Coturnix japonica: one gene and its partner. The protein of the gene in region 1 purifies or fractionates together with the protein of each later gene. This does not show direct contact. Links are inferred from orthologs where the notes say so. Each region holds a gene or a part of one and is shown on either strand. Other genes may lie near its edges.

Region 1 (5,605 bases):
AGTGGAGCCGCATAGCGGCACCTGCTGGCTCGGTGGGTATGGAAACGGGGATAGGGGAGGGGAAAAGATTGGGAAATCAATGGGGAAAAGCATTGGGAACCACAAGAGATACTCATTGTGGCAGTATATGGGGACGGGGCATAGCTTTGGGGTCACACTGCCTCTTTGCCCTCTTCTTATTGCTAATGTACTTATGCTTATGGGGTAGAGTGTGTCAGATTGGGGTGGTAGAGGGGGACAGCAAGGGGGTTGCTCACCAATGCATACGCCACAGCATCATCCTGAGAAGCAGCACAGAGTGAAGAGTCCAGCCATGGTTGCCTAGGGGGAAAACGGGCAATACAAGGCCATGAGATCACCTGCATCTTAATTCACACCAAGTTGCTCTGAGTGTTTGATAGAATCCACTGCAGAGCACATGAGGCATCCCACTGGCTCTGGGGTACCCTAAGGGCACATTGCGGAGCCTCTACAGCACCCAAGGAATGCTGAGATAGGCAGGGATTACACTAGGATGCCCTAAAGGCAGCCCTCAGTGCCCCCAGATCTCTCCTGAAGATGGGAATAATCCAATACCACCTGCAAGAGGTGCCAGGCACCATGCCAGGCAATGGGGGTCCCCCAAACCCCACACTGATGGGGTCTCTGCAGGGGTATAACTCCAAGGTTGGATGAGGCCAGGGCTCCCAGCTAAGCTCAGCCTCACTCTATAATGAATACACTCAGCATCCAGCAACCCTAGAGGAGGATTTATGGCACAGTGCCTTCCTTATTGCTCACATCCATCCTGCTGGGACAGGGCAGCCCAGTGCCAGGATAATTGGGGGGGATCTGTTCCATGAGGAGCTGCCAGAGTCTGGGCACACAGGAGTTAAAGCTGAGCAGGAGAAATCAGAAGAGAATAGGCCTGTAAATGTAAAGTGCCTTTTATTATTATTATTTTTTTTCCATGATGAAAATATTTAGTTAGAAAATAAAACAAAATGCTCAAAAAGCCACAAATAAACCCTGACACTTTATGAATTGCCCACCTCCCCACCTGGAACCTAAGAGGCAAAAAAACAACAGTAACTGCCCAGTGCATTTTGCTGCCAGCCCCCCTACCCCAGCCAGGCAATGGGGATGGGGCTGTGAATGGGGTTAAGAAGGCAACATATTTCCTTCTGAAGGGTGATAATACCAGGCCTGCCCCTTTAGGAGATGAGGCTTTAAGGCATAATCAGCCCTGAGGGGATGGGGGTGAATGTATGGTGATGGTTCATCCCTGACATCAACAGAGCCCTCATCCTTCCTGAGGCAGGAGGACACGCAGCAGCCCAGGTGTAGGGTAAAGAGCGTAGAGGGCACAAGGGAGCCTTTAAAAACCTTAAAACTTTAGGACAGAGCATGAGAAGGCTGAACCCCCCCAGCAAGACTCAGCCCCTCCATGGTCCCAACTGCCACCAAACCCACATAGTGCCAGACCTTGGCTTGGGAAGGTGGGGGGCAGCTGGAGGGGGGAAAGCCTGCAGTCCAGAGGGGTCTTCAGGATTGCTCTGCCTGAGGCACAGCAAACCCAGGGATGGATCCTGCCCAAGGCACCAAACCCTGCTGCCTGCACTGCAAGGGGCTGAGCAGGGTGTTGTGAAGCAGGAGGGACAGCAGAGCCCAACTTTCCCATCTGAGCCAGCAGCTCAGCCTGCACTCAGAAGCTCGAGACAATTCATCAGTGCACCAGAACAGGCTGTAAAACAACCCAATTAACAACAGAAGTCAAACCACAAGTGCCTCCTCCCTCTTACCCACAGAGAGTCCAGCACCCAGCTCAGCCCTAAGCAATGCCACAGCCTTATGGCACAGCACCTGCCATGGCTGGAGATACTGTGAGGTGTCTCCCCTCTCCATGCTCTAAGCCCAGGAGCAGACAAAGCCCCCTCCCCACAGCCCCCTGCCCATCCCCTGCCACCAGCTCACACACACACACACATACACCAGTGCACACGTCTTATTTTCTTTTAAACCCAAGTGAACATGTTTCCAAAAAGAAAACCAAAAAAAAAAAAGAGAAAAAAAAAATATAACATAAGCAGCACATTTCCCAAGTGTCAAAGAGCTCCAAAGCTGGAGCAGAGGCCCAGGACACCCCCCAGACCAACAGAAACTAAACCCATGTTTGCATGGGGATGAGGGAAAGGAGGTGGGGGGGGGGGGAGGCAGCTGATTAACATTTCCAAGTGATGGTGCTTTGCTGGTGGGATGCGAGAAGGGGCAGGGGAGAAGGAAGAAGGGCAGTTCTGTTGTGTACTGAAGGGCAGGAAACAGTGGCAGAGGCAGATGTACTGACACCAGGCTTGGCCATCACACGGCAGCACGGGTGGGTGTGCTGGGCTGGTTTAACCTCAGTGTTTTGCAGAGCCAGCCGGCGAAATCCACCTCCTCCACTTCAGAGCGTTTGATGAAGGTGTGATTCTGCAAGGGAAGCAAAGCAAGGTTAGGAAGGCACACTGTTAGCGTGCAACTATGTGCTCCCCACAGCAATGATTTCCACCTCCAGCAGAACACCACAATCCCTGGCCTCTTTCTCAGAGCTTTTTTGGGTGGGGGGCCTTACGCTGTTGGCTGGACCCCAGCAAAGCCAATGGATCCAAGGCCACAGCTTGGGCTGCTTTCAGGCCCAGACAGTAGATCTGGAGAGTAGTCCCTAAATATTTGCTACTTACAGCCCTATGGCTGGGTTTTAAAGTCAGTGCATCTCTTGCCTGGTCATGAAACTCAGGGCATGCAGGAGAGCTGAAGTGCAAAGCCTACGTGCTGCATCCCCAGAGCAACCCCTAAGTGCTATGGTGGAGACAGGACCAGGCTGGTATAGGTTCAGAACTACAGATCCTGAGCTCAGCCCAGTCCCAGCAAACCCTAATCCCCCCTCCAACCAAGGAGAGGGGCAGAGCAGGGTGACCACAAAACAAGGACAAGGAGCAGGGACATAAGGATGTGGGCTACTGCTTTTGCAAGGGGCAGCAGGGGGCAGGCTGAGGAAGAAAAGGTTCATGGGGATAAGCTGAGCTCTTCTACACTGCTCAAGAGGCAAAGGTTTGTCCCAGGCACCTTCGCAGACATGGAGAGGTGCTGGAGCCATCAGGTTTTCCATACTGGGCTCTGCTGGGGAGGGACAGCAGGCTCTCAGGGGTTAGATGACATCACTGCCTTTGAGACAAAGGTAAGTGAGTCAACTCCATCTCCCAGGCTGGATTTGGTTCTCAGGCACAGCCAGGGGAGTTTCCAGCCTTTAGAGCTGGAAGGGATGGGATGAGGCAGCAGCTTGCAGATCTGGTGCCACCCAGTGTAGAAAGAAGATTGTTCTTCCCATTTACCATCAGCATCTTCAAATCTGCCCGTTCCGCTGGATTCTTAATTAAGCTGAAATGAGAAGAACAAGAGAGCAAAAGCAGCACTGAGACACTTCTTGTAAGAAACTGCTTATCTGTCTGGAGAGGACTCCAGCTTCACTAAAGCCACGTTGCCTCCTGCCTGCCTTCCCCACACCAGCAGCATGAACGATGCTTAGATAGCATTGTCTGCAGCTCCAGCACCCTGGATTCCAGGCAGAGCTGCAAGATCCACTACTTCTGGATTGCACAGACAAACTTCGTAACCATTTGAAGAGATGAATGGTTTTCTAACAGCCAGTCTCTTTTAATGGAGATGGCAGCAGCATCCCCAGGCTCAGAGGGTCTTGAAGTCAGTGGTGTTTGCAGGGTGCCTGGAAGATTGTGGGGTGAGCTATAGGGGTTAACTACAAATAAACCACTTTTATTCCAGCCCTTCCCAAGGCAGAAGTTCCCAGCATAGTGCAGGACCTTGCTGCAGCCAAGCCAGTTTCAGTCACAAACAGAAACACAGACTGTGTTTCAGTCACAAACAGAAAATCCTTACCATTTATTTACAAACTCCTGGAAATCTTGTGTGAAAACTCCATTTGGCAACTTGGGAGGTGGCTGCAGGGAGAGGAGAAAGTGTTAATGGGTCAAAACATACATGTCTTAAAGCACAGCTTTCAGTTAAGGTTTGTCCAAAGCCACGTCCCTCCAAGCTGCTCCTTTCCCATTCAATCAGTGGCCAACAGGATTTTGATGCAGTTTGGAGGGGCCCTATTGATAAGCCCCTGTCAAGCAAAGGTTTTTGAGCCTATTCTTGACCTGGCAGTGCGGACACAACACCAACCCAGAGGAGCAGAACCTACAGTAGTGCAATGCTCACCTCATTAACTATATAGTCCAGCAGTTCAAAGATGGCCATTGCAGGTCGGCTGTCCATTCCATGGCCTGTGTGGTTAAGATGAAAGAAATACTGGTGAGAAGAGACACCAAAGGGCTTCATTTCAAGCAAAGAAAACCCACATTGTGGGACTTCTGGTGGGAGAAGCAGAGGGCACCAAGTTGGGAATGAACCCACGGTTAAAAATATCCCCCAAATCACCTCCTAAGCTCCCCATATAAGACCACAACTCCACAGGCTCTCAGTATTAGAAACCTCCATAGCAGAGCTGGATTCTCCTATAGCACAGACATAGCTCTGCCTGCAGGAAAGAGTGAGTTGAGAACCCTCCCTCCCCACAACCTCATCCACAACAGCTTTTGCTAACCCAGCCACACCAACAGAACCCATCCCCATGCCCCTACACCTGCATGTTGTATCCAATACATACAACAGCCCCTTACCACTAATGGGGCGTCCTGGAGGCCTGGCCCTTGGTGAGACGCTGTGAGACTCTCCCTCTGCCCCATCCACCACAGGACGGCCAAATATTGCTTCCAGTTCCTTGGAGTCTGGTGGGGGTATTGGGTACCTTCCAATAGAAAGCTCCACCAATGACAGACCCATACTCCAGATGTCAGACTGGACTGAGTAATGAGTGCCCTGCAACCGTTCAGGCTGGAAGGAAAGAGAACAAGACAACACAGTGGTAAGAAACCTAAAGCATCTTCTCTATGAGCAGGTGTCCTCCAAGCAGCTAGCACTCCTGATACCTGCAAAGGAAGCACTTCTATGGGGTGTGGGAGCTTCCAAGTCACATCAAACACAAAGCACTTGCACACATCTAACCAACAGATAGATAGAGCTGAGCAGCCTTTGCAGTTGCTTATACTCTGGATTTCTGAGCGAGCTGAGATCTCAGTTTTGTTGCAGGAAAGATTAAGCAGTTTTCTTTTTCCTGTTTATTCCTGTTAATATCTGAGAGTAATCACAGGAGCAGAAAATCCTACTGTGATAAAAAGGCTAAAAGTTAATAAAAATCAATGCAAGCCATCTATACTGGTTACTATGTGTGAGCTTTGCAGGCCCAATGGTTTAGAGCAGAGGGGACATCACCCTTAAATACACCATCTAACTATATAAAATATATTAAAGAACCATTCCCAAAATACAAGAGGAGCTCAGTCCTCCGTACAGAAGCACCAGCAGCTTTGCTAACAAAGCTCCTGCTTGCTTGCAGCTGCAGCACATGGTGTGGGCAGCAGACATGCATCTTCTTTGCTATCCAGACAGAGGATCAGAGCCAGCAACTGCACGTGGTTGAAGCATAGATGAAGGAGGGGGGGTGTCAGCACAGGACAAGCTTTGCATA
Region 2 (6,014 bases), on another chromosome or scaffold:
CATTGATTTCTTTCCCCAAACTAACTGTTGCAAGGATTTGTTTCACTCCTTCACCACTTCCAATCTGCCAGATGAGTGCCTCGGCAGGCTGGTTCTTGAAGGGCCATTCTCTAGCTTGGAGCTCATACCACACAGTCCTGCAATATAAACAAACAAATCAAAACTCTGACAAAATCCCAATTTCTTCAGAAAGCTCTGGAATGTAAATAAGGTTGTGCAGCAAATCCCTCCCAGCCCATTCACCCGCATCCTTGTCAAAACATCACACCCATGTCTTCTGTAGTAGGTGAGGGAAATGCAGCCTAGCTGAATCCTGAATCTGACAGAAGACAGGCAAGGCTCAGGTCTGCATCATATCTCATTTAGAAAGTTCCTGTGATACTCCTTAGGCCTTCTCCCCTTACCCAAAGGCATAGATATCTGCAGCTTTGGAGAAAGGCAGCTTGTCTTCATCTTTCCCAGGGGCCATCTCACGAACGATTTCAGGGGCCAGGTAGCATAACCAGTCATGAGGAAGCTTCAATTCATTCTCCCTCCTGAGTTCAAAGGAAAGAAGTCATATTGAAATGCAATATTAAGTAAACTAAGAAACAGCATATGGCCCGTATCTGTGGTTTGCCTAATGCTGTGACTTTTCTTACATGTTTTGGCTTGGCTAACATTCTCTTTCTAAATTTTGTGCCATATTAAAAAACATATGCAAGTGTTGGCCTGACTCTCCAGCTCATTCTTGGGCTTAAAATCGTTTTGTTCTGTGTTCCGAGACTCAAATCACATATTACTTTCTAGCTTTGTGCCGCTGGAAGTGCAGAAAGGCCTTTCAAGAAAAGAATTGTATTCCAGACTATACATAGGAAAAGACTCAATCTCCTCTCTTGCACCATGTAATGCATCAAAGTATGTCCCTGTTAGATCGTTTTTAATCACCCCAGAAATGGACCAAGCACTGAAACCTCCACCTACCTTCCTTCCTGAACCACACCCGAAATTCCAAATAGTCCAAAGTCAGTGATCACTACTTTCCCATTGTCATAAAAAACATTCTTGGATTTCAGATCCTTGTGTACAATCCCCTTCGCATGAAGATAGCCCATGCCCTGGAAAAAAAGTTTATGTGCAGAGATGTAAATGTTGTCATGTTTACAAGCCTCTAACTGGGCATGCTTCTCTTTCTAATACATGTTTATTTACTCCAACACAATACATTAAGTGGGGACACAACAGCTTCCTCCTCTGTACAGGAGGGTTGCTGGGAAGGTACTTCTAATTGAAGCAGTAAGTGATGGTGAACTTCACAACTCTGAATAAGTGTGTAGGTGTGTGAACAAGGAACAGCTGACACAAACTTGCTCGCTGAATTCCTAGGACACTTCTACCAGCAAAGAAAACAACAGCTTAAGAAATGCTACTTCAGTTGATCAATACTGAAAATAGCCATGGAAACTGCAAATCTGGAAGATCATGTCTACTTCAGAATGCTTTAATGTAGCTGTAGTTACCAATAAAAGAGACTGGGAAGGAAACGTGCCCTGCGTGCATTTCGTCATGGTTGCCTTTTATCAAAATTCTCCCTCCCCAACCCCATATAAGCAAAAGATCAATTTCTATCCCTACAGGTTTTCAGCTTACAGCCCACTGAATTAGCAGTTTTCCTTCCTCCATTTTCAATTTTTCCCTGCTGCAGCACCCTGTGGATGGCTGTTGAACTTACAGATCAGCTGTGCAGCCTCTCAGCACTTGCTGAGGAATTGCCCAGAAAGCAGATATCTCTGATAACACAACGTATGCTTACCTTAATGATCTCCTGTGCTATCTGCCTGGTTTTGTTAATATCCAGGGATATCTTGGGGTCCCTTACAAATGAATACAGTGTCCTTCCTTTGCAGAAGCTGTAAAAAAGAGGAACAAGAGTCCTAAAAAGTTTCTTTAAAACATTGGAGGAATGTAAAGACCAGTGGATGCTCAAAAGGTACTTTTATCATGTTGATGGAATCAGTCTTCTTCCCTCTGCTGAGCAATGCCATTTTCAGTAACACAAATGGCTCAGTTGACACCTGTGTGAGTGTACACAATTGCAGCTACTGATAACTGTCATTCAGTTATTGCTAAAGCGTAGTCAAGCAAACACTTATTTGTTTCCTCAGTGGCCCTGATCTCATTTTGCTCTTCAGACAAATAAGTCCAGTTTTCATAACCTGAGCACCAGCTTCTGCTGAGACTGCAGATTACTTTGTCCCGCTTCTAAAGAATTCAAGAGACTTTAAGAGATTAAAAAATAAGAATTAGATTGCCAATAAATAAACTCCCTAAGAAGAGACATCTCTAATATCAAAACTCCAAGCAACAGAGGCTGCTTTGATGTCTTCCACTTTCAGACTACAGAAATAAATATTACAAATTTATTTATAATACACACATATATCATGCATGTGCATTAAATATTTGTTATGGAAATATATAATTTACAAATATGTTTATAGAAATTTATTCTATATATATATATTCTATACAGAATACTGTATTATTATATCTATTCTATAAATAGATAAGCACATGCAGTATTACTAACAGAAGTTGTTATATCCTTACCTGGTAATGATTGCTAAATGAGGAGGGTTCATGCATGCTCCCATGAAAAGCACCACGTTCTCATGCCGGGTCTGTCTGTAATTCATCACTTCCTTTTTAAAGAGCTTGAGATGATCCTGATTGTTCCCATCTATCTCCAGCAGCCTTATGGCCACTTCCCCGTGCCATTTTCCCTTGTGAACCTTCCCCCATCGTCCTTGGCCAATGGGATCCCCCAGTTCGATCTGTTCAAAGGGAATGTCCCATTCCTGCAGGTAGACACTGGTCTGGCTGGGTTTGCGATAAATCATCCCTTGCAGGTGTGGCCTTCTGTTTGGCAAATCTTCCACTTCATCCTCATCATCTTCAGGTTCTGATTTATTACTCTCAGGTTCTTCCACCTGCTTACAGAAGGAGAACGGAAAAACATGCTGAGAGTCTGTTTTGAGAGGACTTGGGCAGGTTGATGAACCTATTTGATGACAGATCTAGAGATCCCTTCATAGGACAAAGTCATCCAAGAAAGCTACGAAAAGGCACACACCTCCTCTTGGGATGTGGCTCAAGAGCCACTTGAGAAACAGCTGCAGGCAACTGAGTGAGCCAAAGATTTGAGCTCACCTTCTCCCAATTAGAAACAGTTACTTTTTGTTACAAGTATTTCATTGCTTCAGCCTGGCAACAGAAACATCCAATTGTCAGTAGATCTGTGCAGCATAGACAGCCCAGTGGAACTGAAGGCACAGCAAGTCTACATTCACAGCTTCAGCCACAAGCTTCTGCTGCATTGCAACATGGCCTTTGGGATTACAAAAGAGATATAAAAGGGGAGACCATAAAACCTACCTCTGCTTCATGTTTAAGTCCATCTGTATTTGGCTGTTCTTTAGCACTAACAAGAGAAAACAGATTTGTAGTAAGAAATAAATGGGGTGCAGACAGTGAAAGCAGTATAGTCAATTAGATCAAAGTACAATCACTGCTCTAAGTCTAACAACTAAGGACTTTCTAAGATTACTTTGGCAAATAAGGGACAAAGATTTTGAAGTGATTCTTGGTGTTTAAGTGGTAGGAATTCATTGGCAGTGGTATGGCTGCATTATTACAATGTGTTCCAGTAACAGATACTCCTATTCCCAGTACTACAGAAACACCTGTACAGAGTATTGGTCAAGCAATTGTGAGTGCTGGGGTTGTAGGTTAAAACATCAGCACACCCTGCAATTCAGATCCCTACAAACATGTGAGCTTGCCATGCTCTTCCGTGCTGCTTCAATCACAAAACCTTCTACCTTTTATTCCTTTTCACCTTCCTGAGCTGGGAACATGCTCACAGAACCATAACTACATATTTGAAAACACGGTCCCACTTAAAATAAATATTTTCAGCTTTGCAAAACCAGAAATGCCAACATCGCTCTTGCTGATCGAAATTGTCCTGTAGAAGTTTTCAGATGATACATTCAACAGGCCATTGGTTTCAGTTATAACAGTGCCTTTGTGCTGACCTGAAGATTATCAGGTTAACACAACATGATTAAAACAAGCAGTTCTTACTTACTTGGTGTCTGCAGCAGTTTCTGGAGGCTGTGCTATTTGTGCAGGACTGGGAATTTCTGGGAAGTATGAAAATTATTACACATATTTTAGACTCAATTCCCTTATAGATCAGAATATTCAATATTGCAGTACCAGCTGTTTTACACACCTATATATCAACCCATTCCAGCTTTCTTAACATTCACTTATTTGTAATGTTTTGCAATGGCCGTCCTCATTTCTGAGCTGCTCACACCCTTTTAAATGGCCTTCAGCAATCAGAAATACTTGAATCCAGATGCAAGGATTAATAATTGTAGGTCACACATTCCAACCACACTTAGTATGATCAGTGTCACCAGTGCACAGGAAATTCAGTTTCGGTTGCAAATCCTTGCAAAATTTAGAGTGCAATACTCTGTACCTGGCATCCTACATCACCAGTTCTCTCTTTGGAAATAGATGGACAGTTTCTGAAGGTTAATGAAAAGTGACCAAGAAAAGAGCTTGCACATATGAATAATGTTGCACCATTTTCAATCCCATAGGCAAGAACATCAATTCATAAATATGATCTCAGCATTCCTGAACTGCCAGCATCCATTATTCCAAGCATATAATCCCAAAAGACAGCCTTAACAAAAGAACTCAGCCGTGAGTAGAATCGCACAGCAGAAATCTGGTGCTTTATCTGTTGTACTGGATATACTTCTTTTCAAAAGCAGAATTATCGCTCTTGGGTAAGCATGCAAAAATTTACAGTTACTTTCTGGCAGCAAAAGCTTAGTTAGTTGAATTAAAACAGTCAACTCACCTGGGAAGATAAACTGTTGTCTATGCTGAATATAGTAGGCAGCTTTTGTTTGGTTAAAAAAAAAAAAGACATAAAAAGAAAACAAAAAAAAAAACAACAAAACAAACAAACAAGTTAGAGGATCATCAGTAAGTGCCACATATGCATTCAATTAGTCCCAACTCACTGTTAGGAAGCAGATTAGTTGATTATCAGTCTGCTTGAGGGGTGAATTTCAGTACATGCATTTCTGGAAGACAGATGACACCTGTCACATGAATGCTGTGTTAATGCAAGCAGTCTGGTGGGAAAACCAGCCGTTCATATGTCAAGTGGAAGAAGCAGACTCAGAGAACCCAGGGATGCCAGCAGGCAGGCCCAGGAAAAGGCTGATCCTTCAATGCTCTCTCACACTGTCAGCGTTTCCAAGCTGCATGCAGAGAGGCTGAAGCTCAAGAGCTCTTTGCAAGTTGTTTTGTTTGTTTTAATTTCACTTAAATTGAATTACTTGTCCTCATACAAAGTAACTGCAGTAGAATCCCTGCACTAAACTTGCACTGCTTCTGCTCCTTTTAAGTAGGCTAAAACAGCAACTTTCACAGGCGAGAAATCTTTTGCAAAACAGTAGTATTTAAGGCCAGATGCAGCACCTGTTTAGCAGCATGTGACTTCATTTCCAGATAGAAGAAATTAAGTTTATTCTACTATGCAAGCCTTGTCTCTATCAGCTTTGTTAAGGACAGCATATTTGGGTCCTTAATCCAGGAAGTATGTAAATTCTTCACCATACACACCTGTCTACACTTTAAAAGCCAAGTGTTCATTGTTGGTTATCTTTTGGAAGGGACTAGTAGAACTAATTTATGTCAGTCTCCATTTTAATACTTTCTTTCTAGCAATGACCTTACGTTTCAAAGCCACCAGTGAGCAAACACAGCGGGCAGCACGAATTTCATGATACAGTAAGAAAAAGGAAACAAGCAACACCACTTTCTTCTAGTACTCATCAGAAAAGGAAAATAAATAAATAAATAAATAGAATAAAGTAGAAAGATCATATTGGGTAAAAAAGGAACCAGAACTCCTCAGTAATTTGTTTCCTGCAAAAGTATCT

What was found. Proteins that work in one complex are often made in the same cells at the same time.
Region 2: the proteins of MAP2K2 (region 1) and KSR1 purify together in Homo sapiens (affinity purification with mass spectrometry; 4 studies listed by BioGRID and IntAct, with this or other methods). This does not show direct contact. The link is inferred for Coturnix japonica from reciprocal best matches to the Homo sapiens genes MAP2K2 and KSR1.

Annotation. Positions count from the first base shown.
Region 1 is NC_029543.1:1,725,426-1,731,030, reverse strand, and holds the end of MAP2K2 (dual specificity mitogen-activated protein kinase kinase 2), read right to left. Parts: intron 4,912-5,605; coding exon 4,698-4,911; intron 4,302-4,697; coding exon 4,237-4,301; intron 3,975-4,236; coding exon 3,913-3,974; intron 3,397-3,912; coding exon 3,351-3,396; coding exon of another isoform or gene 3,237-3,350; exon of another isoform or gene 3,085-3,236; intron 2,449-3,084; coding exon 2,338-2,448; 3' UTR 1,967-2,337; downstream 1-1,966. UniProt on the Homo sapiens protein: Catalyzes the concomitant phosphorylation of a threonine and a tyrosine residue in a Thr-Glu-Tyr sequence located in MAP kinases. Activates the ERK1 and ERK2 MAP kinases.
Region 2 is NC_029534.1:7,918,171-7,924,184, reverse strand, and holds part of KSR1 (kinase suppressor of Ras 1), read right to left. Parts: intron 4,964-6,014; coding exon 4,922-4,963; intron 4,185-4,921; coding exon 4,130-4,184; intron 3,461-4,129; coding exon 3,415-3,460; intron 2,973-3,414; coding exon 2,590-2,972; intron 1,890-2,589; coding exon 1,793-1,889; intron 1,098-1,792; coding exon 964-1,097; intron 537-963; coding exon 405-536; intron 138-404; coding exon 2-137; intron 1-1.